Linked DNA regions of Canis lupus familiaris. The protein of the gene in region 1 interacts with the protein of each later gene in a biochemical or structural test. Links are inferred from orthologs where the notes say so. Each region holds a gene or a part of one and is shown in the gene's direction. Other genes may lie near its edges. The genes, in order: UBE2D2, PJA1, RNF216, LTN1, MYLIP, RNA-binding E3 ubiquitin-protein ligase MEX3C and PJA2.

Region 1 (3,653 bases):
TTTTAACAGCTTCTAAGATTGATTTTTTTTTTTAAAGATTTATTTATTTAAGAAGGAGAGAGTTGAGAGAGCACAAGCAGGAGGAGAGGCAGAAACAGACTCTCCACTGAGCAGGGATCCCACTGCGGGCTCAATCCCAGGACCCTGAGATCATGACCTGAGCTTAGGTGGAAGCTTAATCAGCTGAGCCACCCAGGCACTCCTAAGATTGATTCTTAAATGAAAGGTTTTTGAAATATAGATGTTCCTATAAAATACAACAATATTTTTTGCTTATGGCCAAATATTTTGCCCACTATTTCTAGAGAGTACGTTCTTTCTTTTTTTTCTCTCTTTCTCTTTCTCTCTTTCTTTCTTTCTTTCTTTCTTTCTTTCTTTCTTTCTTTCTTTCTTTCTTTCTTTCTTTCTTTTCTTTTCTTTCTTTCTCTTTCTAGATTTTATTTTCTTATTTGTGAGAGACACAGAGAGAGGCATAGGCAGAGGGAGAAGCAGGCTCCCTGCAGGGAGCCCAATGTGGGATTCAATCTCAGGACCCCGGGATCACCTCCTGTGCCAAAGGCAGATGCTCAACCACTGAGCCACCCAGGAACCCCTGGAGAGTTATTTCTACTTAGAACCTGTAGTGATTTTTTGTTTTTTTTTTTTCATCTAATGACTCTTCAACTGCTAACCAAACCATTATAATTTGAGTCAGGATTAGATATTCTCCCACTACCTTCTTCCCTTCTTTTTTATACTTCCACAAGGACATCTAGGAGTGTAGAAGAGTTCCAGAGGGAGACCTAAGTCAGTGATTCCAGTAGGTATTATATTTAACCAGTGTAGCAGAAATCCTCCATTAAGATTTTAATGGCAGGTCTTCACATGCTTTTGTTAATTAAATTCCATCTTAATGTGTTTTTAGTTTAGTTTGTCTTTCTCTGCCTTGTTGGTGTTGTAGATTCTAGATCTTTTTTTTAATTCATTCATTCATTCATTCATTCATTCATTCATGAGAGACACAGAGAGAGGGGCAGAGACATAGGCAGAGGGAGAAACAGGCTCCCTGCAGGGAGCCTGATGTGGGACTGGATCCCAGGATCCCGGGATCATGCCCTGGGCCAAAGGCAGATGCTCAACAACTGAGCCACCCAGGTGCCCAACTCTAGATCATTTAAAAAAGAGACCTTGATCTTTCATCTGTTAGTGAGGGACTAGTAATTCTAAAGACTTATACATGAATGCTCTCAGAAATTTTTTCTTGCTGTAAAAACAAGTCTTTCCTAATTGGGATATTATCTACTTTGACTTTATAGCCCTGCTCTATACCAGTATTATAAAAGGAATGTATTCTATGTTAATGTGTTGGGGAAATGATACAAGTTAAAGAGTTGAATCTTTTGTTCTTTTTTACCTTTTGAGGTAAGAAATGCCTATTTAAAAGTGAAAACTTGAAAATAAATAAATAAATAAATAAATAAATAAATAAATAAATAAATAAATAAATAAAAATGAAAATGAAAACTTGGCCCTTGTCAAGAATTTTGTCTCCCTGATAGGAATTTTCAAAATATTTTAGTCAAATACTTTCTCACAGTACCTTATCAGTGTTCAAGACCATACTAGTCATTTTCTTTTCTTTCTTCAGTCTCAGACTTGATTTAGATTCCTCATCCTGCCCAGGACTTACCATACTGCCATACCCAGTTATAAATGAACTGGGGTTAGGAATTGATATGTAATTATGTTGTAGATACAATGGAAATATTGCTTCATGGTTGTTTTTTTCTTCTTTTTCAGTGTTCCATTGGCAGGCTACAATAATGGGGCCAGTAAGTATTCAGATTGATTTCAGAGTAAGTGTTTATGTAATTCACTCATTTTAATCCCACTTTTCTTGTTATCAACAGAATGACAGTCCCTATCAGGGTGGAGTATTTTTCTTGACAATTCATTTCCCAACAGATTACCCCTTCAAGCCACCTAAGGTAATTGGGATATGGCATTTGTTTTTATGTGCTTTCTATGACATTAATAAATCAGTTTACAAAAAGTTTTCCTATTCCCTATAGGTTGCGTTTACAACAAGAATTTATCATCCAAATATTAACAGTAATGGCAGCATTTGTCTTGATATTCTCCGGTCACAGTGGTCTCCAGCACTAACTATTTCAAAAGGTAATAGAATGGGTATCTGATATTAAGATAAAGCAGCAGTGTTTTTGTCTTATATTTTTTACTTGTTTATTTTTAAAGATGCATATATTTGAGAGAGGGAGCATGCACATGCAAGCAAGGGGAAAAGCAGAGGGGGGAGAGAGGGAATCTCAAGCAGATTCTGCACTGAGCATGGAGCCCCCAACATGTAGGGCTCCATCTCACAACCCTGAGATCATGACCTGAGGCAAAATCAACAGTCTGATAATCAACCAACTGAGCCACCCAGGTGTCCCTGGTTTTTGTTTTTTTGTTTTTGTTGTCTATTTATTTTTTGAAATGATTATTCATATTCCTTTCAAGAAGAGGTAGTAAGTTCCCGTTATTTTTTAGTACACCTTGAGACCATTGGAGGAAATTGGATTTTCAGGCATAGGTATTCTTTGATGTCTTGACAGCTCTGTCCATTATGCTGTTCAAGCGTAAGTTGGAAAATGGCCAGTTGGTATGAATTTCTTCTAGAGCAAAGTTAAAGTAGAGGAAATTAATGTATCTTCCAACCTTGAGATCTGGGAATGGAAAGGATAGATACTGTTCCAGAAGAGGACATAGCAGTTCTTTTGAAGGAATGCTTGTGGTATAAATACAGACTTTAGGTCCTTGAAGAACAAAGTATAGGTGAATTCATATTCAAACTCTTTAAGGTTATACCAGCTCTTGTCTTGAGGTTTCTATCAGAAACAGATTGATTCTCTAAGATGACCAGTTTAATAAAAATTCTATTTGATGATCTTAATATTTTCAGTATATAGTCCTGTGTGTGTTTGAAAATGTGTTTTAAAAATTAGTTACTGGGATCCCTGGGTGGCTCAGCGGTTTAGCGCCTGCCTTCGGCCTAGGGCATGATCCTGGGTCCTGGGATCAAGTCCCACGTCAGGCTCCTGCATGGGGCCTGCTTCTCCCTCTACTTGTGTGTCTGCCTCTCTCTCTCCCTCTGTGTCTCTCATGAATAAATACATAAAATATTTTTAAAAAAATAAAAATTAGTTACTAATTTTGCAATGAAATTCCAGTAATTCTAAATAAAGCCTAATTACATGAGTCGGTTGGGGATTTTTTTTTTTAATCCGCGAACTAAGTAGCTAACATTTTCTTTTTTTTTTTAAGATTTTTTTATTCATTTACCAGAGGGAGAGAGCATATAAGCAGGGGGCAGAGGCACTGAGCCAGCCAGGCACTCCAACAAACAGTATGTTGATTTGAAATTGTACTGCCCCTCAACATCATATCCAAATGAAATCACAAGTGGATTAAGAGCTGTCCAAGTAAAAATATAATAATGAAAAAAAGGCTGTACAAATACAAATAAAGAAAAAGAAAGGCTGCAAATGAGATAACGGGCTAATAAGTTTGAAATAGGAAGAACATATATAAAAATCAGTAAGAGAAAAGATCCCAACAGATGAATAGACAGAAAGGAGCAAAATAATGAAGGAAATGAAAATTAAGTTCCCTTC
Region 2 (4,156 bases), on another chromosome or scaffold:
CTGATATTAACCTTGGTACATGTCTCTTGTCTTCTTTCTTGCTTTTCTTTTTTTCTTTTAATTCCTCCCTCCTCACTCCTTCCTTTCCTTCCTTCTTCATTTCTTGTGGTATTTAACTGGCATATATTTTCCATTTCTATATCTGCTTTAAGTGAAACTCATATAAACAGCATATAATCAAATTTGAAGAAAAACAAAATACTTAAAATGAGAGTCTGCCTTTTATTTTTTAAAGATTTTATTTATTCATTCATGAGAGACAGAGAGAGAGAGAGGCAGAGACATAGGCAGAGGGAGAGGCAGACTCCTCACAGGGAGCCCGATGAGGGACCCGATCCCTGAACCGGGATCACGCCCTGAGCCAAAGGCAGACACTCAACTACTGAGCCACTCAGGATTTCTGAGAGTCTGCTTTTTTTTTTTTTAATTAGTGTTAATCCATACTATATACTGATATATTTGGATTTATTCCTGCCCTTTGGGTCTTAAAAAATAGCCTTTCTTGTTGCCTCCCACCTCACTTCTGCAGTTTGATAGATTGAATTTTTCTCTTTGTTCGACATATTATTTTTTTAGTGGTTTGTTACACATACATCCTATTCTTATTATATTTGTTACCCTAATGTTTCCTGTCCTTGTATTGTGCATTTTGTTTCCAAGAACAAAACTTTGCTATTGTCGTGAACATGGAGAGTCTTTACATTCCATAAATATTAAAGATGCATTGTAAAGTGCAATTAATAAAAGAGTTCAGAATTCTGTAAAATTATACAAATCCAAAAGGTATAGCTATAGTATTTTTAAACTGCAATGAGATTACCAGGTTGTGAGTCGGTATTACGCTTCATGACTGATCATTTCTTTTGGATAGAAAAGGTTGGTTTCGTTAACAGAGAAAAAAAATTAACAGCAACAAATTCTACTGTAAACAGTTCAATTGCTTCAATTACCAGGTCAAAAAAAAAAATGAACCTGCAACTCTAGATAAAATTTCACATTTTTTTATGCTTCTAGTACAAACCATGCCATATAACATAGGATATGATATATTATTGTAATTACTTGAACATCAGAATTAATCAGAAAGAATTTGTCGACTTCATCTTTAAAAAGGGGGAGAAAACCCCCAGAACAGAAGAGGGTATGGCTAAATGTTTAACATTTGCTAAAGCTGGCTGTTGGTTACATTTTTTGCTGTCCTTTTCTGTATCCTTGACGATTTCATCATTTAAAATGAAATCATGCTCTCGGGCCCAGCCTGATTGGTGGAGAGCAGCTGCCGCCCCGCCACATCGAGGGGGCGGGCCCGGCGACGCCACCGGCACTTCCTCCGCCGCAGTCGCCGCCTGCCCGGCTGCTGTCTGGCGGGGGAGGAGCTGGAGACCCGGAGCAGCCCCGGCGGCCCTGACGCTCGGCGGCCCGAGAGCTCCGCTCGCCCGGAGGAGCGCGCGGCTGTCAGCCCTGGGTGAGTGGAGGCTGTTTCCTCAGTTCATCCGGAAGGGGCGGCGGGGCAGGTGGCGGGGCTTGGGGACGAGGGTTCGGGTCCTCTAGCGAACAGATCTTCAGGCGCGCCCCTTGGGAAGGGGTGGGGTGGACGCAGGACCTGCCTGCAGAGTGAGGCCTGTATCCCCCGACCTGTTCGGGGGCGTCATCCTCCATCTCCCAGCCCCCTTCGCGTGGCGTGGCCCCTACTCGGATGGCTTCAATTGCTGTTTGAGAGGGGAGTGGGGGTCCGGGCCCTCCCCTACTTCTTCCCTCCTTGGTCCCTTTACAGAGCACTCCATGTCCTTTCTTCCCCCATTTTGCAGTTGTTTTTCCTGAATGGCAAATTGTTCAGATTTGTAGGTAAATATATTATCGTTCCCAGGAAAAAGAATTGTCTGAGAAACCAGTTATTACCAGGGAAAAACTAGACCCTTGCCTGCCTTTCCTTTCTTTTATTCCCCTTCCCTGGCCATCGGTTTGGAGTTGCCAGTGTGAGCAGTAACGTTTTGCCATCTCTCTTTATGACACTGTGACCCCCTCCCCCTCCCCATGTCTCGCATGTGTGGGCAGGGACATACACAGACACATGCATACATGGTGCGCGTGCACATGCACGCACACGTACGCAGGCATACATACAGACACACACACAGAAACCTCTCGTTGCAGCCCCCTCCCTGCACCCCCCTCATACTCAAGGTTTTGGCACATCCTCTTCCCCTTGAGGACGTGGACAGACACACATACACACACTCTTGCACAATGTCACACCCTCCTGTGCCTTTCCCTGCTTCTCACTGCCTGCCACATACTCACCTCCAGAAGCAGCCCCCTCCTTCTTCTGCCTCTGTGTGAGCACACACACACCACACACACCCCTTCTGGGGCTGCCCTAGCCCTTGCCTGCCACACACATGACGATAGCGTTTGATTGCTGGCTCCTCTTTCATGTGCCACATACATACATACATATATATGCACGCACACACTCTCATTCACACAGCCCTCACAGATGCTCCCAGCCCTGCTCCCCATCTGCTACATACGTGCATAGACAGCCCTCCTTTGCTGGTTCCTGCAGTGCAAACACTCACATAAATCCTTCTTTGGGGACACCATCACCCCCCAGCTAGCCACATTCGTGAATACACATATTTCCCTGATTGCTGGCTCCCTATTCCACCCACCAGCCACCCTCACATCCCTCTCCTGTGCTGTCCCTCTCGTGGATGCGTTCACTCACACTGACATTCTCCACTGTTGCCTCCCATTTTGCTGAATACTCACAGACCGTGGCCACCCTTGTCCAATGCTACCAAACCCTTTCTTGCCTGCCACAGACACGTAAACGGGCTCCCTCCACAGAGTTGCAGCCACTGCACATATACAGCCACACATGCACATTCTCTTTCTGTCATGCTTACACATACCCCTCTCCTCTGAAGCCACCCCCCACCCTGGCACCTGTCATTTCCCTACCCACATCCAGAATGGGTGTCCTTCTGTCTGACACTAACGCCTCTTCCCAGTACACCTGTCCCCTCCCCCTACAAACATGCATCTCTTCATTGCATGATGACTGCCCCCCCCCTTCCACCTGTCCCTCTCCTCCTGACAGACACGTTAGGCATTCATGAACACATGGTGATCTCTTTTTCACCCCATCCCAATTTGCATTTCTCCTGTCTGTCTGCAGGGCTCAGAAAAGATGCAGATACCCCATAAGATAACCACAACAATCTTTCCTCTTCCACATTGGCCTAATTTCACACTACTTCACCCACCTTCCTAGCATCCAGGCACCCCCATCTTCTGTCAGATTCTCCCCCAAGTCTGGCTCTCCAACCAACCCAGCTTTGTAATCATTTTGCCAACATTAAAAATGTGTTCCAGGTCTACACCTGACAGTCACTGGAATGCTACTTCAGGCCTTAGAAGAAAGTGAAACTAATTGTAAAGGCCCCTTATCCTTTCTGTTACTGCCTGCTGAAGTGAAAATAGATCTCCCTGCTCTTTTATTCTGAACTGATTTGACTTTCCCATCTCCCAAGCTTGTGCAGGGAGCAGGAGCCTTTCCGCTCAAGCCCCAGCTGTATTGGAAACCCTCCTAAGTCAGAGCCATGGGTCAGGAATCTAGCAAGCCCGTATGGCCCAAGCCAGCAGGAGGGTATCAGTCCAATACAGGCAGGAGGTATGGAAGAAGGCATGCTTATGTCAGTTTCAGGCCATCCTCGAGCCAGCAGGACAGGATTTCCAGCCAGAGAAAGACAACATCCGAAGTCCCAATGCACAGATCAGCCCCCAGTCAAACCACCAAGAGGAGCCGGTCACCATTTTCCATCACCCGTCGTAGTTGGGAGGACAGTGAGAGCTCTGGAGCCAGCCTGAATGTTGATAATGAGGACTACTCCAGGTACCCACCGAGAGAGTACAGGGCTTCAGGTAGCAGAAGAGGATTGGCTTATGGACATGTTGACTCTTTTGGGGCAGATGATAGTGAGGAGGAGGGGGCTGGGCCTGTTGAGCGAGCACCAGTTAGAGGGAAAACTGGCAAGTTTAAAGATGATAAGCCCTACGACCCAGAGAAAGGGGCCAGGTCTTTGGCTGGGGTGGCTCCACAGTTCTCTAGCTTTAAGCGTGATGTGAGAGAGGAGCTTGACAAGTTAGACCC
Region 3 (4,344 bases), on another chromosome or scaffold:
TGACCCCTTCCTATCTCTCCAGCTTCTTTTATCCCCCTGCATCTAAGTAGGTGGCTGGAGAAGTACCCACATCCTTGCTGCCTGGCCTCACTTTAAATTTCTGATCACGGAACTCTAGTGCCTGCAAGGCTACTGCATTCGACTGATCGTTCGTTCTCTACTCTCTCCTTCACAAATCTTCTCCCAGATCTTTTCCCTGACCTCGCCCTCAGCTAAGGTCCCTCCTTATCATTTCCCTGAGGTTCAGTTGCATCATCTTGTGTCTCTGAGTAGCATTGGGCAACACCGATCATTGCCTTCTTGTCGAAACACTTTGTCTCTTGGGCCTCTGAGATACCATACTCTCCTGGTTTTCCTCCGCAGCATCCTCTAGATTCCAAATGTTTAAGTGACCCTGAAGTCTGTCCTCAGCTGTCCTCTCCCCTCTATCTACACTCATTACCTAGGTGTGAGTGTAGCTAGTCTGATGGCTTCATACGTTATCTCTATCTCAGTGATTCCTAGTTTAAATCCCTAGCCTGAGTGATCCTGTCTTTCTGAAGCTGCAGACTCATATATCCAAATGCTGACTGACGTCTCTAATTTGAAGGTGTCGTTGGCAATTTCACACGTCCAAAACACATTTACTTCTCCCTACTCTGACCAAAATCTGTTCTTCCCAATCTCCCCCCATATTTATGACTGAAACCCCATTCATCCAGTTGCACGTTCCAAAAACCTTGCAGTTACCCTTTCCCTCTCACCTCACATCCAATCCATCTGCAAATCTCTCCGTTCTACTTGAAAAAAAAAAAAAATCCCTACTCTGATCATTCCCCCCTCCCCCTCCTTCCTGACCATACTAGTTAAGGTCACCATTGGGTATTATTTAGACTCCTATAATCTCTTCCTAACTAGCATTCCTCTGATTAAGACCTCCTTATGTCATTTCGTTTTCTGCTCAAACGTCCCTCTTTAGAAGACTTCATGACCGCATTGGCATCCCCATCACTCTCTACCCCTTCCTCTGCTCTATTTTTCTTGTGTTGTTCCCCCCCCAACCCTTCCTGCCTGAGCCAGTATTTTAGTGCGTTTGTTATATATCTATCCACTAAAAGATTAACTTGGGGAGAACAGGGGCCCTCTATATCGTTGTATGCCCAATTCCTACAACAGTGCCTGGCACACAGGAAGCTCTTTGAAAAATAGGTGTTGGATGAATGACCTGCCAAAGGCAAGGGGTGCAAATAAATGCATATCCAATAGCTTTCCATGGGCATCTGCTCCCCCCTACCCCACATTCCCCCGCCTCCACTCTTTTCATCCCTAGGGAGACAGGCGACACTTCCTGAGGTTGGGGGAAGGGCCCCTCAGTTTCCTTCGTCCTCCCACCTCGTGGGGGAGTCAAGACTCAGTGGGCGGTGAGCGGCCAGACGTCCCTCTCTATGGTCTTACTCTCCAGGCCCCTCCTCCCTAGCACCCGGCGTGCCTCTATGGTTCTTCCTGTCATTAGTCGGGAGGGGGCGCTGTGCGCAGGCGCGGGGTGAAGTCGCGGCGGGGCCGGAAGGAGTGCAGCGGCGGCCTCGGCGGCGGCGGCAACGAAGCTGTCGGCGGCCGCTTCTGGTGACTAAAAGCTGTGGCGACAGAAGCCGCCGAGCCCGCTTGGCGAGCCGGCGAGCTGAGTGGCGAGTAAGTGTCGGCCGCGGGGCGCGCCCAGCTCCTCGGCAGGCCGCGTGAGGCGAGTGGCGTCTCAGCCCAGCGCCTCCATTAAGCCCCAGGGTGGGGGCGGGGGCGGGGGCGGGGGCCTCGGCTGTGAGGGGCGGCGGGGCCGCGGAGTCGGGGGCGCGGGCCTGGCCCGGCGGCCTCCCGCAGGCGAGCGGGCCCGGAGCCGCGCGGGGCCCCGCCGAGGGCCGGGCGGCGCGAGCAGCGGGGCTGGCGGTGAGGCGGGAGCCACAAAGGCGGCGGCGGCGGCTGGCGGACGCTCCCCCGCGCCCGCCACTTCGGGAAGTTTCGCGGGCCGGTCCCTCGGCCTGCTGCGCGAGGGCGAACGCGCCGAAAGACCCGAGTTTCCCGGCGGCACCTCGCGGGAGGCGGCGTCGGTGGAGCCGAGCGCGGCCTGGAGCGCGCGGGCGGTGATGCACTGGGACTCTGAACTCCGGCGTCCCCCTTCACCCCCCCACCCCCCCGGGGCCCAGGGGCGTCGGGCCTCAGTCCCCAACCCTCCCGACTCGGTTCAGGAGCGCCGTCTTGTCGGGAAAGCCGGCGGCTCCCACCCAGCCCTCGTGAAGACATGCAAGTGCGTCAAAACCCTCTGCAGCGCGGGGAAGGCGAACCCGACAAATGTGCCTGGAGCGCCGCGCAGTGAACGAGACCGGCGTTCCCGCGTGGGACGTGGCTGGAGACTGCGTGGAACGACGGTCTCAAAACTTTGGGCCACTTCAGTCCTGTGCGAGACCCCCCCCCCCCCGTCTCGCCCACCGGCGCCCCCCCCCCCCCCCCCCCCCCCCCCCAGTGCCTGCGTTGTGATAAGTGCCCGGGTATGGCTTGTCCATCCAAGTCACTTTGCTAATGCAAAGAGAAGATTTTTTTTTACCCTGCAGGGAACTGGGAGAAGACAGGGAAGATTTTAGGACCGACCTCAATTTTAGCACGCTTGCCTGAAAAAAGACTGCCAAGAAACAGCCTTGCTTTGTTCTATTTGTTGTATAGGTAATTTATTGGGGCTCGGGGTACAGACTGGTGTGAAACTGAGGAAATCGCTGGAGAACTGGAGCCAGATTTGGGATCTCCCCCCTTAAACCTAAATAGAGGCTAGCGGGCAGCAAGTTTTTTTTTTTTTTTTTTTTTTTTTTTAAACCTGCCTTCCAGCCCGAATGGAGAAATCTAATAAAGGAAGTTGAAATTTGAGTCAAGAAGACTGAAAGTTTATGAAATAGGGTCGATGAGAGCACCTGAGTTTGCTGACCCTGATGGCTTCTATTTAATGAGTAGTTGCTATATTCTAGGCTGTGTTAAGGTCTTTTCAGACCTCATAACTAATTCTCATAGCTGGCAATATTTTACTTTTCTTGTCAGTAAGACAAACATGATGCTAGTAACTATGCTAGGTATTGTTCTAAGCATTTTTTAATGTAATAACTCCTCTAATCTTCAGTAATGGGGGTTCCGTTATTATTTTAAAAGGAAGAAAACGAGGTACTGAAAAATAAGTAGTCAAAAAACTCCCACAGAGCTGGGACTTGAATTCAGTTTGGTTCCATAGCTCATGCTCCTCCTACTAATTACTTTGCCATCCCTGTAGATGATATTTATTCGAAAAGTTCTTCTGGAGTATTTACTTTGTGCCAAGCAGTATGTCCTGCGGCTAATGGAATGAATAAGATGTCGGGTCCTCCATCCTTGGAACTTGTTTTAGCAGATAGCTATTTAATGTAGCTTTCTAAGTATTTGTAGATTATTATTGTGCCAAGTACTTTGAAAGATTGAGATATATTGTGTGAGTGAACAATGGGGATGGTTAGGTGTTTCTTTTTTTTTTTTCTTTTTTTTTTTTAAGATTTATTTATTTATGATAGACATAGAGAGAGAGGCAGGTTCCATGCTGGGAGCCCGACGCACGAGACTCGATCCTGGGACTCCAGGATCGCGCCCTGGGCCAAAGGCAGGCGCTAAACTGCTGAGCCACCCAGGGATCCTCCTGGTTAGGTATTTTTGAGGAAGTGATATTTAAGATAAGAAACTCAAAGATGAATGGAGTTAATTTGGTCAGAAAGAGGCAGTGAAAAATAATCAGCCAGCCAGAGGTAAGAGGAAGGAGCATGGCCCGTTCAAGGCCCTGAAAGAATGGTGAATGGAGGAGAGGTGTATGGTGAGGCTAGCTATGTCAGCAATGGTCCTACGAGGCAGCGTTTCACAGGCCACGAAATTTTGGTTCTATGACGAAATCTTATGATTTAAAAGAAACAGCACCTCAGTGCCAAATGAAAATAAGTGGGAGAGTAGAACCTATAGGCACTTTTGGGGTGGCAGGGGCAGCTTATCATGAATTCACAGAGGATTCACCTCTAAAAAGATTGAAAACCATGATCCCCCCCTTGTGAATAAGGATGTGCTTGCTTATTTCAGTTTCTGAACCAATTTTCGGTTGACATTTGAGGAAAATCATAAGGTTATATGTTAAACTCTTTAACCTACCTAGTGAAGATTCTGAGTTTAATTTTTGGGTTAAAACCCTTCCCATTGTGGGCAGCCCGGGTGGCTCAGCAGTTTAGTGCCGCCTTCAGCCCAGGGTGTGATCCTGGAGACCTGTGCCTATCTCTCTCTCTCTCCTCTCTCTCTCTCTCTCTCTCTCTCTCTCTCTTTCTC
Region 4 (3,653 bases), on another chromosome or scaffold:
CAGAAATTGTAAAAGGAGTTCTTCCATACTGGCCAAGAATTTTCTGCAAAATTTCACTTGTAAGTATTAAAAACTTGTAGTAGTTTGTTTTTGTACAGTTTTTGAAGTCATGAGGACTATTAAATTTATATGATTGCTTTTGGTGAGGATGATAAAATGTTATGTCAGTATTGTTATGCAGATTGAATCATGTTTTTAAGGTATATTGAGAATCTTTTTTCAGAAATCAGGTAATTACTGGAGAATTACCTAGATACTTTCTAGTTAGAGTAAAATTGAACAGTTTAATTTCTTTGGATATTTACTGCGGAAGAATGAGAGTGAATTGCCCAATATTCAAGGCCTGACCTTGAGTCTATCTTGAAGAGTTTTTATCTCATTGCAAGAAGGGAAAAAGAAAAAATGAACTTTTTCACAATTTTTGAATTTACTAATTTTAGTTTAGCTCTGCATATCGGTGGATTCTTATTAATGGGTCATCATAGCATATTCAGAAATGTCTGTATTTTTATTCTTATGGGGTAGAGCTATTTTAAATCATTTTATATTTTCAATAGGATCATGATCGCCGGGTTCGAGAAGCCACACAGCAGGCTTTTGAAAAACTTATTCTTAAAGTGAAGAAACACTTGGCTCCTTATTTAAAAAGTTTAATGGGCTATTGGCTAATGGCTCAGTGTGATACTTACACACCAGCTGCATCTGCAGCAAAAGATGCCTTTGAAGCAGCTTTTCCGCCAAGCAAGCAACCTGAAGCCATAGCATTTTGTAAGGATGAAATTACAAGTGTAAGTTCTTGGAACTGTCCTCTTTTTTTTCCCCACAAGTATTTAGGGAACATGAGGCTTATTATAATGATAGCTCTTTTACATGGTATTGTGAAGGAATAGCTAAGTGAAATATTCCTAATGGAAGACAGTTTTTAAAAATGGTATTTAATAAAACTGACTGGTTTTGATTTTTTTTTTTTTCTGGTTTTGATTTTTAAACATAATATTTTATTTTATTATTATTATTTTTAAAGATTTTTATTTATTTATTCATGAGAGACACAGAGAGAGGCAGCGATACAAGCAGAGGGAGAAGCAGGCTCCATGCAGGGAGCCTGACATGGGACTCGATCCCAGGTCTCCAGGATCAGACCCTGGGCTGAAGGTGGCACCAAACCGCTGAGCCACCTGGGCTGCCCCATAATTAACATTTTAGATTGAATTTTTCTAAGTTATTTAAATTTTTCGTCCTTAATTTATAACTTTTAGTCATAGTACCAAAAAGATTTAAGTTTATGCTTTATGTTACATGATCTGAAAAAAGAATACATCTAAAAAATCTAAATTTACTTTCCCCATATTTCCATATTGATACATGTATACAGATAAACTTCATTCTTTTTGTTGGCTTTATGATATAGATGTACAACAGTTTATATAACTCCTTTTATATTAATATGCATCTGAGATTTTCCCTCTGTTTTTTATTATAACAAATACTGCTTCAGTAAACATTCTTGAACAGATCTCCTCAGACCCTGTGGGAGTGATAATAGAATTTCTAGTAAGCATATGTTGGGTCAAAGGATAGGAACATTTAAAATTTTCATGGATACTGATAAATTGCCCTTCAAAAGGCGATATAAATTTATATTCCTCTTAATGATATAAAGGTCTCTCCAACACATGGCCAGCACTTCTGCGAGACTGGTATCAGCCATAACTTTTTTTTTGTGGCTTTCAATTTGTGTCTTATATTGTCCTTCTTCATTTCTGTTATTCCTAATATATGGGCTGGAAAAACCAGACAACCAAGCTTATTAGTATTCTCTCAAGAAATCAAAGTAGATGGACTGTGAGAGAAGAGAGGAATTGAAGATTTTTAGAATTCATGGATTTTTAGAAATTCATAGAAATTCAAAGACATTCATTCCTTTATTTAGTACACCTGTGTTTCCATAACACCCTGTGTACAATATTTTCTTAAACATCCTCTCTCCTTTCAATTATCCAGCCTTCCTGTGGCTTCCCATTATACTCACAAGTCCAGATTTCTTATCCTGGCCTACAGGACTCTGCATGGTCTGGTCCCAGCTTACCTGTCTCATCTTTGCACCTAACATCTCTCCTACACACATACGTGCATTCTAGTTCCCCATTTGAGTTCTTGATTCTCCCATTCTTTATTTTTCAGTTTTACCAAGTTTGTTTTTCTAGGGACAGGGTTTGTAGCTTTAATCATATTCTCAAAGGGAGTTGTCTAATCCAAGAATCATTGGTTTATTTAAGTATTGTGAGAATGAAGTATGATGAGTTATGATACTAAGAGTTTTAGAAGATGGAGTTTGAGACAACTAATTTGGCTGTCTATAGTTTTGCATATAGTATTATAGTATTATATAGTATTATATTGGTTTTTTTGTTCTTGGTTTTGTTATGGATGGATAATTGATCATTGAATATGTGGATTTTTCCTCTATTATTTCCCCTTTACTTAGTTATGTCACAGTTCTTACAGATAATGGGTTTGAACTTTCCCAAGTTCAAAACCAATTTTTTAGAGAGGAGTTAGGCAAATGAAGACCAAAATGTGAGATTTATAAACATTATGTCATACTGTCTATAAGAACATGGGCTCTGAGTCGTAACATTGGGTTCTAGCCCCAACTGTGCCATTAGTTATTCGTGTGACCTTGGGCAAGTTTCTGTGCCTCCATTTCTTCATTTATTAAAGTGGAAATTAACTTGTACTTCATTGAGTAGTTGTGAGGATTAACTTAATGGATGAAGTGTGCTCAAATCAATACCTGGCTTGTGGAAAAGCTAAATAAATGATAACTATTGTTACTGCTGATAAAAGCAGTACTAGAACAGTAGGTTCCCTAGTACTGCGCCCTGGTAGTAGGCAGGCTTACTCACTTTGAATGGAGCCTTAAACTTTCCTCCTTGATGAAGCAGAGCACACACAATATGTGTTGTCCTGTTATGGGCAGGGAGGCTCTCAGAGGGGAAAACAGCCTAACTTCTCTCCCAAACTTAAAACTCATCGGTGATTCTACTTCACTGTTGTGTACAAGAGGGATAGAGGAGCGAGAGACCAGGAGTATTTAAGGGAAAACTCTTCTTGAAGGTACTGAAGATGTTCAGAAGAAGTACCCTCTCTTTCTAACTGCAAAAGCAGTCAACCTTGGGGATTGATAGGGAAAGAAAAATTGTTACCAATTGAACTTTACAGTTCAAACCTTCTAGTTTTGCTGCTTTAATTTTGCTACTCTTTTGGGAAGGGGTAGAAACTTTTAGATAAGATAAGGCTTATGCTCTGTTCACCATTGACAATTCAATAGAATCTCAACACTATGGGATTTTCTCCCCTCTATAGGTACTGCAGGATCATCTTATAAAAGAAACACCTGATACACTCAGTGACCCACAGTAAGTCATCTGTCTATGTAACTCATATTAAGGATTTGTTTCGCTCAAAGGTAATGAGATGATAATTTCAAGACCATATTTTTAAAAAAAGAGATTGTGAAAGTAGAGATAAAAATACTTGATATAATACTATATGCCAGGTGCCATTTTAAATGCTTTTACTTACAAGTTGTCCTGCTATTTAATTTGAATTATCTGGAAGTTACACCTTCGGTTCTTCGACAAAGAGGT
Region 5 (4,230 bases), on another chromosome or scaffold:
GGCTTTCCAAGGATCCAAGACTGAAACCCGCATCTCATTTCTCCTATAAAGAAACCAAAGAGTAGGCTAACTCGTGCATTGGCAAAAAGGAACAAGTAGTAAATGAGTGAAGACTAGGAGGCCTTTAATTACTAATAGCTACTGCTGAGGTTACCACCTGTTAGGTTCTGAGATAAGTCCCTAACCTTCAAGATGGGGATAACATCTGGTTGCCTGAGAGAAGGGACCGGCAGCACAGCAAGTGCTCAATTAACGTTTAATGAATGAATAACGCACGAGACAGGATGAACGAGAGAGGGCCTTGGAGCCCCATAAGGTGTTTTGATTCAGTACAACCTGTAAACAGAAGCTTCTGGAGAAGATTTATGCTGAAGTGCTAGATCCAGCTCCACGCTAGATGCAGCTCAGTGGTCAACTGAAAAAAAAAAAAAAAAAAAAGATTTTATTTATTCATTCATGAGAGACGCAGAGAGAGACAGAGAGCGGCAGAGACACAGGCAGAGGGAGGAGCAGGCTCCCTGGGGGATTCGATTCCACGACCTGAGCCGAAGGCAAATGCTCAACCACTGAGCCACACAGGTGGCCCTGCAAAAAAAAACAAAAAACAGAAAAACTTTTATACTCAGATTTTTTTTTTCCCCCACCGCCGAGGTCTAAAATGAGGAGCGATCCTTCCGCCTTCCAACAGCCCACGGCGGCAACCCCCGGGGGGGCGCGGGGGCAGTTTGCTCCGGGCTCGGGGGTTGCTCCCTTTGCCTTGGACGTTCACCTCCCGTAGGCGTTCTCGCAGCGACCCAAGGCTCCTGGAGAACGGTGGATCCCAGGCAGGCAGAGGGGCGCCCCAGCCCCGGGGCCGCTCGCCCGGCTCGGAGCAGCGTCGCGCAGCGGGCGGGGGCGGGGGCGGGGGCGGGGGCGGGGGCGGGGGCGGGGGCGGGGACGGCCGGGCCCCGGACCCCGGGCCCCCTCCCCGCGCAGCCCTCCGCGCCCGCACGCCGCCACCTCCCGGGCCGCCCGGGGGAACTCAGCCGCGGCCGAGCGGGCGCCGCTATTGGCTGGCCCGGCGGCGGAGGCGGGGCGCGGCCGCTGATTGGCTGGGGCCGCCGCCGGAGGGGGCGGGGCCACTATATGAGCGGAGTCCCCGGCGCGCCGCAGGCAGTCGGGCTGCTGGAGTGCGGCGCCGCCGCGGGGACCCGGGCGGGCGGGCGGCCGGCGCGCGGGCGGAGGGCGGGGGCGCGGGGCGGCGGTCTGCGGCGCTGCAGCCTCCCGGGGGCCAGCGTCGCCGAGCCCGGGGCTGCCTGTGAGCCGCGGCGAGGCGGCAGCCCCGCGCGCACAAGGAGGAGGCGGCCGCGGCGGCAGCGCCGGCCCCAGCCATGCTGTGCTATGTGACGAGGCCGGACGCGGTGCTGATGGAGGTGGAGGTGGAGGCGAAAGCCAACGGCGAGGACTGCCTCAACCAGGTGACGGCCGGGGCCGGGCGGGGGCGGCGGTCCCCAGAGGCCGAGGGGCCTCGCGGCGGCGCCAGGAGCCTCCCGGGGAGCGGACGGCGCTGCGGCGGCCCGGCGGGGAGCGCCCCCCCCCTCCTCCTCCTCCTCCTCCTCCTCCTCCTCGCGGCCGTGGGGCCCGCGGTCCCCGCAGGCTGGCAGCGCGCAGGGGGGGGGGGCGGGGGGGACGCGCGCGGCGGGCTGCCCCCCCCCCCCCCAGCCCCGCACTTTCCCGGAAGAAGGCGGCCCGGCACACCTGCCGCAGGTGTGTGCATGATGCCGCCTGTCGGGTCCCCCGCGGGGTCTGGCGGTGCCACCTGAGCCCCCAGATGAGGTGGCTGCTGGGCAGACAGGCGACGCTCTTGTCTCTTGCTGCTTCTCCAATGCACCGTCCACCTGCACCTCCCGGTTTGCGGGGCCCCGGAGGGCCGCGGGTTTGGGTCACCCACTCCGTCGCCTTGAAAGCACGCATTCCCCTTAGGAGTAACGACGAATGGCTCGAAACTGCACGTTGGTATGACAGACAGAAAACCTGGTCTCAAGGGGAACGCTGTGCCCTCAAACCCCCTAGACCTGAGCTGTGTGGAAAACCTCCTAGCTGACACTTGTGGCGTGTTTCCTCACCGTGTTTGTTTCTTGGAGTCCAGATGGTTAAAATTGTCCAGATAATCTGCCAAATCAGCGGTGCGGATTGTGCTGGTGGAGGGGATTCCGGTGATTGGAATAAGAGAAAATAACCCTGTAGATTGCCTCCCTCGGCCTTTCTGGAAGGCTACTCTCGAGGACTCCTTTCTCCCTACTGCAGTTGACGGTGTCCTAGGTGTTAAAGGAAGCACAAAGCCTCTCTGTTGGTTTAACAACACTGGGACCTTAGAACTTTGTTCTTACAGCTTAAGGCAGGAATTGTAGCACCTTTGTTGAACGTTGTGAAAAGCAGGCAGGAAGCTTGCACCCAGACGGTGTCCTTGGGTTTGCTTTGACCACATGGACCATTTGCTCATCCGTATTGCACTCCTTTTCTGTTCTAGGTGTGCAGGCGGCTGGGAATTATAGAAGTTGATTACTTTGGACTGCAGTTTACGGGTAGCAAAGGCGAAAGTTTATGGCTAAATCTGAGAAATCGGATCTCCCAGCAGATGGATGGGCTAGCCCCTTACCGGCTTAAACTGAGAGTCAAATTCTTCGTGGAACCTCATCTCATCTTACAGGAGCAGACGAGGTAAAGTGGCACTGAAATAAACCAATGTCACATACATAGACCTTTGATTCCGTTTAGAAAGGGCTGTTGCACCTCCCCAGAGATGTTCACAGGCAAACGTGGTTGACACAGAGTGAGTTGGTTCCTAACTGAGAAGTTTTCCACGGCTCAGCCCTTTTGTTGAGGTGAAGAGGGAACCGCCTAGTTGGCCTGGGGTATGTTTTCTGTCTCTTGTGGTTTTTTTTTTTGTCTTTATAAACAACAAGGGGCAGGGCTGGATTCTTGTGAACGCTGGAGATCAGTGCCACAAGGCAGAAAAAAAAAAAAGGTTAAAAAACCCAACTGACTTCCTGATAGCCGCATCAAATGCCCGATAGTAACCTCTGCCTCAGCAGTGTTACTACAGGTCATTGTAGAGGGTTCTAACAGAAAGCAGGAAACAGTTCCTCTTGGGTTACTTAAACTTGGTCAATTTAAGCCTAGTGTCAAATTACAACATGTAGCAAAGCGCTCCATCTGACTTCATGCAGAATTTTGGAAGTTTTTAAGCATCTTGAAATCTTAGTAGAAAAACACTGTAGGGCCGGTGTAACGGAACTTGAACCCACACATCTGTAACACAGGATTGTTTAGATTTGACTTTATCTCTTTACTTGTAGAAAACCACCAGCAGTGGTAGACAACTGGAGCACGTGGGTGCCTTTTTCAAACAGAAAATGTTTTCTCCCCCTGGACTGTCTGTAGTACTTTTCAAGGATGAGCCAAATTAGGAAACTGGCATTCAGTATTTATTGCTGAAATGCAAGAGACCTGAATCTTATAGTGGCATGTTAAGAAAAAAAAGAAAGGAAGAAAACGACTTTTAAAGACAACAAACTTTGGATCTGAGTTCTGATATTTTTCATAATCCTTTGGGTTGGAAATTCACCACACATGAAAAATGTGTGACAATCTCAAGGTATGATAAGTGAGCAAAATCCTTTAAGGGTTCTCATGTCTTTTTTTTTTTTTTTTTTCTTCTCCTCTGCTGAAGGACTGATGGAAACATATTTTGAAATACTGTTCATTTGAATTTGAAATGTCTCTTCTACCTGGTTAGGGAGCTTTAAACAGTGAGGGAGATGTTCAGTTTTATTTCTGAGGCAAGCTAGTATATCAAATTCTTAGTGTTCTTGGAAATCTCTTGCAAAATATTCACATGATTGCATGTGTAGTAAGGCTGTTTTAGCTGTTTATGTTAATCAGAATAGGTTGTGTTTTGTTTTTGTTTTTTTACCTTAAAGCAGACTTGTGAAGGTTTCCACTCTGTACTTCAAGATAATGGAGTAGAGTAAGAGAAGAGGACACACACACACACACACACACATATTACAACACATTGGACTTTTCATTGTGTAGTTTTATCATGGTTTTATCATGTAGATTTATCATGATATCAATCCTTTCTGGGTCTCCAGATGCAAATCTGCCTTGAGGATATGAATTTATTTTTTAAGTTTGCAGCAGCTTTGAGGACCAAATACATCTCATTTAAACAATGGCTGAAGTCAT
Region 6 (4,324 bases), on another chromosome or scaffold:
GCTTAACTTTCTTGAAAAGCCCCAAAGAAGTCGGGTGGAGCTCGAGGGCCCCGCGGCACCTGGGCGGGGCTGGAGGCCGGGTCGGCGGGCGGGGGAGGGCCCGGCCCCGCGGGAGCAGCGCCCCGGGCCGCCCAGGAGGACCCCGCCCCTCGCTCCTCCGAGGACTGTCCCCGGGCCCCGGCCCCCGAACGACGGGACCGCGCCCTCGGCGCCCGCGCTGCACCCCGAGGCTGCCCGCACCGAGGCCGAGCCGGACCCGCGGGGAGGCGGGGACGCCCAGGTGCACGCCGCCGCCGCCGCCGCTCGCGCGTGCGCAGACGCGCTCTCCGCGCAGCCCGGCCTTCAGCGGCTACCGCGCCTTCCTCCGCCCGCTTTTCCCCGCCCCCAGACGCCGCGTCACAAAGACTGACGTGCGGAGCGGACAATCACGGCCCCTGTCGGCGGGAGGGGAGCGGACGGAAGGGGAAGGCAGCGGGCCCGGCCCGGCCCGGCCGCCCAATCAGCGAGCTCCGGGAGCGGCGGGGCGGGGCCCGAGGCGCGGGCGGGGGCGGGGCCGCGGAGGGGGCGGGCTCCGGGGGCGGGCGCAGCCAATCGGAGCGCGCCGGCCCCGCTGGGAGCGCGGCGTGGGGCGTGGGGCGTGGCCGCCGCGGCGCGCGCCGGGGGCTGGCCGAGGCCATGGAACAAAAGAAGCCCTGAGAGGGGAGCCGCGCCGCCGCCGCGTCCCCACCCACCGCCGGGACCTGCCTGGCCCGCGGCTCGGCCGCACCCCGCCGTCTGCAGGCTCCGGGCGGCCCTGGCGCGCCGCGGCCCCGGGGTCCGCCCCGCCGCCCGCCGCCCGCCCCGCCGCCAGCGCGCCCGCCATGGGCCCCGCCGCCCGCCGCGCCTGACCGCCGCCCGCGCGCCGCCATGCCGAGCGGCAGCTCCGCGGCCCTGGCGCCCCTGCCCCCGCCCGCCGCGCCCGAGCCCGCGCCCGCGCCCGCGCCCGAGCCCGCGCCCGCGCCCGAGCCCGAGCCCGCCGGGGCCGCGCCGCTGCTGCGGGGGCGCCTGGCCGCGCTAGGCCTCGACGACCCCGGCCCCGCCGAGCCCGGCAGCGCCGCCCCGGCCGCGGAGGAGCGCGCCCCGCCCCGCAGGCCCGGGGCCCCGGAGGCCGCGCTGGACCGGGACGCGGACGGGGCCGGGGACGCGGACGGGGCCGGGCAGCGGGGGCCGGGGCCGGGGCCGGGGCGGGCGGGGGCCGGACGCCGACGAGCCCGACGACGCCGACGAGCCCCGGCCGCCGCTGCTGCTGCTGTCGCCGCCCGCCGCCCCGCACTCGCCGCCGCCGCCGCCGCTGCCGGGCGGGCCCCTGGGGCCGGTGCTGCTGCCCGCCGCCGGCTTCGACGCCCGGGACGCGGCGGGGGCGCTGTACGGGGACGCGGCCGCCCCGGCCATGATGGCGGCCGTGCTGTCCCACGCCTACGGGCCCGGCGGCTGCGGCGCGGCGGCCCTCAACGGGGAGCAGGCGGCCCTGCTGCGGAGGAAGAGCGTCAACACCACCGAGTGCGTCCCGGTGCCCAGCTCCGAGCACGTCGCCGAGATCGTCGGGCGCCAGGGTGAGTGCCGCGGGGGCGCGGGCGGCGGTGCTGCGGGGCAGCTCGGGGGCAGCTCGGGTCACCCCCGGGGGCAGCCCGGGTCACCCCCGAGGCAGCCCGGATCACCGTGCGGGGCAGCTCGGGTCACCGTGCGGGGCAGCGCGGGGGCAGCCCGGGTTACCCTGCGGGAGCCCCGCGCATCCCGCCCGGCGGTACCCGGGCCGCGCATCCCGGGCCAGGCGGGGCCGGCGCCCCGGGGGCAGGAGGTGGCGCGGCCCGCCCTGCAGCGGGGGTGGATGCTGCGGCCGCGCAGGTGCGCCCCGGGGCACGCGGCCTCCCGCCCTCCGCGCCCTCCGCGCCCCCGACGCCGGGACAGCGGCCGGCACCGTAACGGAGCCGAGCCTCCGGGCGCGCTCACTCGGCCTCGGCGAATCCTCGGCGCTGCGCGCAGACTCCTCCCACGTGGTCCAGACAAAGGAGCTGTGTCTGGGGCTCCCGGAGCGGCTGTGCGGTGTGCGCGGGGGCAGGCCCTGTGCCCCGCGCCCGACCCCAGGGCCGGGCGGAGAGCAGCCCCCACGGGCAGGTGCGGGGCTCTCGGGGCGAGTGGGGCCGCGACGGCGCTGCCGCGGGGGTGACCTCCTCCGCCCCCCCCCCCCCCCCCCCAGCGGTGTAAGTGCAGGGCGGGCAGCGAGAGGCCTGTGGGCGCGCTGGGGCCGCGCATCGCCGTGCGTTCCGTGCTCCCCTCTGGGATCTTAATACGAAAACCCCGTCTGCACTCTGGGTAAAGGACGCGGACTGCCGAGGACTGCTGCTCCAGGCACCCCGCGAAGCTGGGACCCTTCCACCGACCGTTTATTCCGGTAGTTTGGTAAAGAAGACTCAGATGCCTTGCTTTTTGTTTGTTTTATTTGGGCCGGTTTGGGGAGGGGGGAGGGTGTTTTTGCGATGCCTGAGATCCTACTGATCCAGGAGAGCGCTGTTTCACCGTACGGGGGATGAAACCTACCGCCCCCACCTACAAGTCCAGGATGAGTTGGCCATTCGATTAAGAGCATTAAGGAATTGATAGGTTTCAAGCTTCTATTTTGCCAGGTGTTGAGTTTATGGGAGTTGGAAATGTGAGGTCGATTCACACAAACTTGCTGCCCTTAAGAAACCAAAGTTTAATCCAACTAACGTGCGGTTAATGGCACTCTGTGTAGTAGGTGACAGCCCTACCTGTGAGGACACCGACCCTGCAGGGACTTTAACAAATGGAGACAAAGAATGACCTGGGAACAATGTGAGGATTACTCTCTAGCTCTAATTAGAAAGTGGGGTTTTATTTATTTATTTATTTATTTAGGCGCTTGGAGTCTTCGAAGGGGTGTGGTGGAAAGGGGCTGGGAATGTGTGCGTTCAGGCTTGAGTATGAAAGACCCTTAATGCTACACTAGGAGGGCACTTCCTCGGCACAGGTTGCTTGTGGTGCCAGTTGATGGTAACAAAAGAAAAGAACATTGACTTCAGTTTGCCTGAGGGACAAGATAATGAAATCTTTTGTATATTTAGTTTAACACAAACTTTTGTCCTTATCTGTATCGTACTCTTAAAAGCATGAAAAAATGGACCCCATTTACACAAACTGTTGTCTTTTTATACAAATGCATTATTTAAACTGAATTCATTCTGAGTTTTTATTTTGTACAAGCTATTAAAATAATATTTTGTAATCTATTTAATAGCAAATGAGATAAAGTCTTTAGTTTTTCTGTGCTTATTGGGCTGTACTTACTGGTTAATAAGGAAATGTGGTTCTATTTATGTCTTAGGACATGTAGACAAATTGCTGACTACTCCTCTTACACTTAATGTTTCCTAGAGTTGACAGTACTGTTAAAAGCATGTCATCATCTTCTACCTTCTCTTAAGACCAGAAAGTCTTAACACCCCTTTTCCTACCTCTAGTGGGATCATTGACCCCTTTGCTACCTCTACCCCTCAGCAGCAAGCACCATAATAAAATCTGTAAAGGGCTTTCCCACTCCTATGGAGAACAAGGCAACTCACCACGTTTGCACCCTTTTGTTTTTTGTTTTTAAAGATTTTATATATTTATTTGAGGGAGAGAGCGCCTGCACAAGTGGGGAGGGGCAAAGGGGAAGGAGGAAGAAATCGGGAGCGGACTGCACACTGGGCGTGGAGCCCAATGTGGGGCTCAGTCCCTCGACCACAAGATCGTGACCTGAGCTGAAACCAAGAATCTGATGTGTAACTGACTGAGCCACCCAGGCACCCCTGCATTCTTCTAAAGTGTAATGGTTTGTCTTTTCTCTAAGTGAATAAACAAAGCAAATCATTCAATTTACTTGTCTGCTTTGGGTGAACTAAATGTTCATTCTAAACAATTACCCGTTCTTGCCATTTTATTCATTACCTGAAGTCATAATTTTCTGTTTGCCATCTCTTAATTGGCTTTGGAAATAATTATGACACAGATGGAGACATTTCTGACTTCAGCTCTGAAGCAAAGGGTAGGACAAATGGAATTCTGAGTCATATAGGCTAGAACTCATGTAGATGGCCTCTGGTTCCAGTGTCTTTCAAAAAAAAACAAACCACTTCTTTTGATAGTGTTGAAAGTTGGCAGTGTTGACCTCATACTTGTACTCCCCAGGAGCGTATGGCCATTTGCAAATGTTAAATTGGCCCCGTCTTTTAGGCTTTGCATCTCATTGAAACCAACCATCCTGTGAAATAAAGGTAGGAAAGGT
Region 7 (4,168 bases), on another chromosome or scaffold:
TGGGTTGGGGACTAAGGTGGGAGGAGAGCAGGACCGTAACCGGAGAAGCAGACACGTTCAGGAGAGGGGGGGGAAAAACAAAATTAAAAAAAAAAAAGGAGGTGTGCGGGCCGAAGAAACCACTGAGCATCACGGCATGATTCAGTCAACTGTTACCCGTGTTTAAGTTAAGCAGAAGGCCCCGGGACTACAGCTGTTGTATTTACCGTCGGGCAGGTGATGGGAGCTGGTCCTTCTGGGCTGCACAGCCCCCGAGCCTCCCGGTGCAAAGTGGGAGGGGGGTCAGGACCGGGCTGGGGGCGGAGGGGGGCTGGCAGGAGGCCGAGTGCCCCGTCCCCACCTGGGCGGGGGGCGCAGGGGGCCGCAGCGTCCCCGCGGGGAGGGGGAGGGGAGAGGCGAGGCCGAGGAGGGAGGGGAGGGGATGGGGAGGGGATGGGGAGGGGATGGGGAGGGAGCGGGAGGCCGAGTGCCCCGTCTCCGCCTCCCCCAACCTGGAGGGATGCGCGGCGGCCGGAGCGTCCCCGCGGGGAGGGGGCGGGGCAGAGGGAGGGGAGGAGGGGGGGGGGGAGGGGGGGGCCGGGAGGGGTTGGGAGGCCGAGTGCCCCGCCCCCGCCCCCCCACCTGGTGCGGATGCGCGGCGGCCGAGCGTCCCCGCAGGGGGGGCTGGGGTGGGGTGGGGGGGGGTGGGGGCGGGGCCCGCGGAGCGCGCGGGGAGGGGGGGCGGGGGGCGGCCGTGCCCGCGCTCGCTGTCGCCCCGCCCGGCTCCGAGCGGCAGCGCGCTGGCCTCCAGCCCGAGCCGGTCACCCGGGCGCCCAGGCCTCCGCGGCTTAGCGCTGAGCGGGAGCGCGCGGCCGGGGCGGCGTCGGGGTCCCTGCAGCCCGGGCGCTCCCGCCCCATCGCGGAGGCCCCGCCCTGTCTCGCGGCCCGAACCACAAAAGGCCGCGCGCCGAGCCCGCCCCGCCCCGCGCCGCCCCGCCCCGCCCCACCCCGCGCGTCGCAGTGCCGCAGGGGCCTCGGCCGGGCCGGGGAGCGCAGCCGCAGCCTCCCGCCCGCCGGCCAATCGGCGGCGCCCTCCTGGCCCGGGGCGGTCTGCGGCGCCGGCTCGGGCCGAGTCCCTTCCCCTTTCTCTGCCACGTCCCAACCGGTGACGTGAGCCCACTCCCCGGGTCCCCATTGGGCGCGTGGACTTTTCCTGCAGAGGCCCTGGGCGCCGATTGGCCGGCACCGCCCGGGGGCGGGGCTTGCGTGCCCGCCTCCTCCGCCTCCGCCGCGGCGCTGGGGGCGGGACGCGCGGCCGCCGCCGCCTCTGCTTCCGCCGCCGCCGCCGCCGCCGCCGCCGCCGCCGCTGCCGCCGCTGCGCGTTCCGCGGGGGAGGAGTCGGAGGCGGAGAAGAAGGCGGTGGTGGCGCTGAGGCTCGGGCGCTGCCGTCGCTGCGGGGCCGCTGCACTGTAGGGTGAGCCGTATTTCCTTTTCTTTCCTCAGGCCGAGCTGTAGTGGTGCGGGGAGCGCGGGGGTCGGGGCGAGGGCGGCGGCGGCGGCGCGGCGGGGGCGCGGGGGGGCGGGGGAGGCGCGGGAGGCGCGGGGCCTGCGTCCGCCGCCGGCCATGGTGGGTGGGGTTGGCGGCGCCACGGGCCCGGCCCCGGCCCCCGCCCCGGCCCCCGCCGCCGCCGAGTGCTGCCCGGCGGCCCGCGGAGCCCCCGCCGCCCCCGCCCCGCCTGCCGTTGCGGCCGCTCCCCGCCGGGCCGGCCCGCCTCCCGGGGCCCTCGGCCGCGCCGACCCCCGCGCGGCCCGTCCCCCCGAGCTCCCCCCGTGCTCCCGCCGGTGCTCCCTCCGTGCCCCCCCGAGCCCCCCCCGTGCTCCCCCAGCTCCTCCCCCCGTGCTCCCGCCGGTGCTCCCCCGGTGCTCCTCCGTGCTCCCCAGCTCCCTCCATCTCCCCTTGGTGCTCCCTTCAGTGCTCCCCTGGGTGCTCCCCCTAGCTCCCCCAGTGCTTCCCCCGCTCCCCCCCGTGCCCCCCCATGCTCCCCCAGCTCCCGTCGGTGCCCCCCCGCCCCCCAGCTTCTCCCCAGCTCCCCCCCCGGTGCCCCCCGTGCCCCCCCGTGCCCCCCGGTGCCCCCGCCGCTCGCAGTGTCAGGCCGCGCTCCCCCGCCCGCCGCCCGCCGCCTGGAGGCCGGCCTCCCGCGGATGGCTGCTTGCTAAATCATTTTGCGCACCTTCGAAATGCCGAGTTTAAAGCCGCCCGAGGACCAAGTTGAAGAAAAAAGGGAGGACGTAAAATACTCTTTTTTTTTTTTTTTTTTTGCAAAAAGGAAGAATAATCTGTTGAGGAGACTTCCCTCGCCAGGCATTAAATTTTTTTTTTTTTTTTTTTTTTTTTGCTTCCCGTATGCACGGGCCCTGCTTTGAGTCTGCTGCCTCTGTGAACTTTATGTTTATGTAGGTTTGTTTTTTTTAAGGCTTTCTGTATTTGCTTTTTTTTTTTTTTTTTTTATCATGACCTATTTGGTCAAATTTCCTTAAAATGGCAGTCCCCTCTGCCGAGGACTCCAGATCATTCCAAGAGCATGTCAATAAATATGAAAATAACAGAAAGAAGCGTGTTAACGATTTGTAGGTTTTTTTGTGTTTTGTTTTTTGTCTCATAGCATCCATCCCATTTTTATAGGAGATGACTCTAAGTCCTGAATATTGGCCCCAGACACGCAAGCTCGATGTAAAATTGGACAATATAAGGAAAAGGCCTATGGAGCAAGACTTGGACACTTGTCATCCTCCTGTCCTACTCCAGTCTCTGAAGTTAGCCATTTACTGGGCATTTTTAGAAACGCATTTTTAAACACATACATATAAAGTCGGGGTTCAGGGGCGAGGCGGGAGGAATACCAAACACCTCGCTGCGTCCCTCCTTCCTCTCACCTGCCCACGTGTCTGGCCCACCTTGGTTTGTTCTTTAGGGCTCTCTCTGATAACTTTGTTAAGGGTAAGCGGTATTTCATTGGTTTGGAGGAGCTGGGATTATTTGACCTATTGAAAGACATTCGATTAGTTTCTTTTCGCTGTCAAATACTGCTTTATTTGAAGACAACTTTTTAATGCATTGATTAGTTTTTAGTTGCACACTTTAAACCTTAAAATTTTTTAAAAAAATTCCAACAGTTGGAGGAATGAACGTAAGGTAAATAGTGCAGCACCCACTTCCCCTTCTGGTCCTGCCTTTATTCTAAAAGTCACCTGTTAGGGAAACGTCCTCTGTGTGTGATCACTTCTGGAGCATAGATTCCCTCCAAATGGAGTTCCTGCGTTAAATGGTATGCATGTTTTAAATTTTGATGACCGTTTTTCCCTCTTTCCAGAATTATTCTTGACTGTTTCTTATGCATTTCTTCCCCAGATGAACTTTAGATGCAACTTACAAATTTTTAAAAATCCTTAGTTTTTTATTTTCTTTTTTTGAATGTGACATTGAAATTTTAGATGGATTTGGGGCAAACTGACCTTTGTAATACTGAGCCTCTCCCCCAGAATATGTGCGTGTATGGTGTGTCTTTCCCTTTTATTCACATCTGGCTTTATATCCTTAGTTTGGGTTTTATAGTAGTTGTGTCCCCGCCCCCCATACTATGGCATTCCTTCCTAGTAATCCTGGCTAGAGTGTGATGTGATTTGCTCTGGTGGATAGAAACTTGCAGGAACATTTTCTCTCTCTTTCTGGTTATAGGAAAACTTACGGATTTTTTTTTTTTTGTTTATCATGAATCTAATCACTTTTGAGTTGGTGATTACCTAGAAGTGTTCACACCTTTCTGGCTTTCTTTTCATTTTTTTTATAACGTATTTTCCTCATTGCTTTGGCTAGCGTACACTTGCGGTATAATTTTGAAGAATAGCAGTGGTGGCTAAAAATGTGGTGTTGTTTCTGACTTTGAGGGACTGCTTCTGATGTTTTAGCATCCATTAACGATGTTTGCTGAAACTTTCTGTTAAACGGGAAATGTTAAGTTAAAATATTTTCTTCTCTTTTCGGCTTTCCAAGATGATTTTGTTGTTGTCTTTAATTTCTGATGACATTTTTAAAAACCGTAAGTGGGTGTTGAATTTTATTGATGGTTTTGACTTTTGAGTGGTTATGTAAGGGCATCACCAATCTCCCTGGTTAGTATTTTCCCAAGAA

What was found.
Region 2: the proteins of UBE2D2 (region 1) and PJA1 form a complex in vitro, tested with the Homo sapiens proteins (3 studies listed by BioGRID). The link is inferred for Canis lupus familiaris from reciprocal best matches to the Homo sapiens genes UBE2D2 and PJA1.
Region 3: the proteins of UBE2D2 (region 1) and RNF216 form a complex in vitro, tested with the Homo sapiens proteins (2 studies listed by BioGRID). The link is inferred for Canis lupus familiaris from reciprocal best matches to the Homo sapiens genes UBE2D2 and RNF216.
Region 4: the proteins of UBE2D2 (region 1) and LTN1 form a complex in vitro, tested with the Homo sapiens proteins (2 studies listed by BioGRID). The link is inferred for Canis lupus familiaris from reciprocal best matches to the Homo sapiens genes UBE2D2 and LTN1.
Region 5: the proteins of UBE2D2 (region 1) and MYLIP form a complex in vitro, tested with the Homo sapiens proteins (2 studies listed by BioGRID). The link is inferred for Canis lupus familiaris from reciprocal best matches to the Homo sapiens genes UBE2D2 and MYLIP.
Region 6: the proteins of UBE2D2 (region 1) and RNA-binding E3 ubiquitin-protein ligase MEX3C form a complex in vitro, tested with the Homo sapiens proteins (2 studies listed by BioGRID). The link is inferred for Canis lupus familiaris from reciprocal best matches to the Homo sapiens genes UBE2D2 and MEX3C.
Region 7: the proteins of UBE2D2 (region 1) and PJA2 form a complex in vitro, tested with the Homo sapiens proteins (3 studies listed by BioGRID). The link is inferred for Canis lupus familiaris from reciprocal best matches to the Homo sapiens genes UBE2D2 and PJA2.

What each region holds. Positions count from the first base shown.
Region 1 is NC_049223.1:33,997,613-34,001,265, forward strand, and holds part of UBE2D2 (ubiquitin-conjugating enzyme E2 D2), read left to right. Parts: intron 1-1,779; coding exon 1,780-1,811; intron 1,812-1,889; coding exon 1,890-1,967; intron 1,968-2,051; coding exon 2,052-2,157; intron 2,158-3,653.
Region 2 is NC_049260.1:53,797,473-53,801,628, reverse strand, and holds the start of PJA1 (E3 ubiquitin-protein ligase Praja-1), read left to right. Parts: upstream 1-1,314; 5' UTR 1,315-1,465; intron 1,466-3,378; 5' UTR 3,379-3,605; coding exon 3,606-4,156. UniProt on the Homo sapiens protein: Has E2-dependent E3 ubiquitin-protein ligase activity. Ubiquitinates MAGED1 antigen leading to its subsequent degradation by proteasome. May be involved in protein sorting.
Region 3 is NC_049227.1:12,342,468-12,346,811, forward strand, and holds the start of RNF216 (E3 ubiquitin-protein ligase RNF216), read left to right. Parts: upstream 1-1,506; 5' UTR 1,507-1,668; intron 1,669-4,344.
Region 4 is NC_049252.1:24,536,214-24,539,866, reverse strand, and holds part of LTN1 (E3 ubiquitin-protein ligase listerin), read left to right. Parts: coding exon 1-59; intron 60-557; coding exon 558-788; intron 789-3,369; coding exon 3,370-3,422; intron 3,423-3,653.
Region 5 is NC_049256.1:16,553,843-16,558,072, forward strand, and holds the start of MYLIP (E3 ubiquitin-protein ligase MYLIP), read left to right. Parts: upstream 1-1,288; 5' UTR 1,289-1,370; coding exon 1,371-1,457; intron 1,458-2,509; coding exon 2,510-2,700; intron 2,701-4,230. UniProt on the Homo sapiens protein: E3 ubiquitin-protein ligase that mediates ubiquitination and subsequent proteasomal degradation of myosin regulatory light chain (MRLC), LDLR, VLDLR and LRP8. Activity depends on E2 enzymes of the UBE2D family.
Region 6 is NC_049222.1:23,929,231-23,933,554, forward strand, and holds the start of RNA-binding E3 ubiquitin-protein ligase MEX3C, read left to right. Parts: upstream 1-1,395; 5' UTR 1,396-1,429; coding exon 1,430-1,592; intron 1,593-2,420; exon of another isoform or gene 2,421-2,439; intron 2,440-4,324. UniProt on the Homo sapiens protein: E3 ubiquitin ligase responsible for the post-transcriptional regulation of common HLA-A allotypes. Binds to the 3' UTR of HLA-A2 mRNA, and regulates its levels by promoting mRNA decay.
Region 7 is NC_049224.1:2,731,829-2,735,996, forward strand, and holds the start of PJA2 (E3 ubiquitin-protein ligase Praja-2), read left to right. Parts: upstream 1-1,306; 5' UTR 1,307-1,453; intron 1,454-4,168.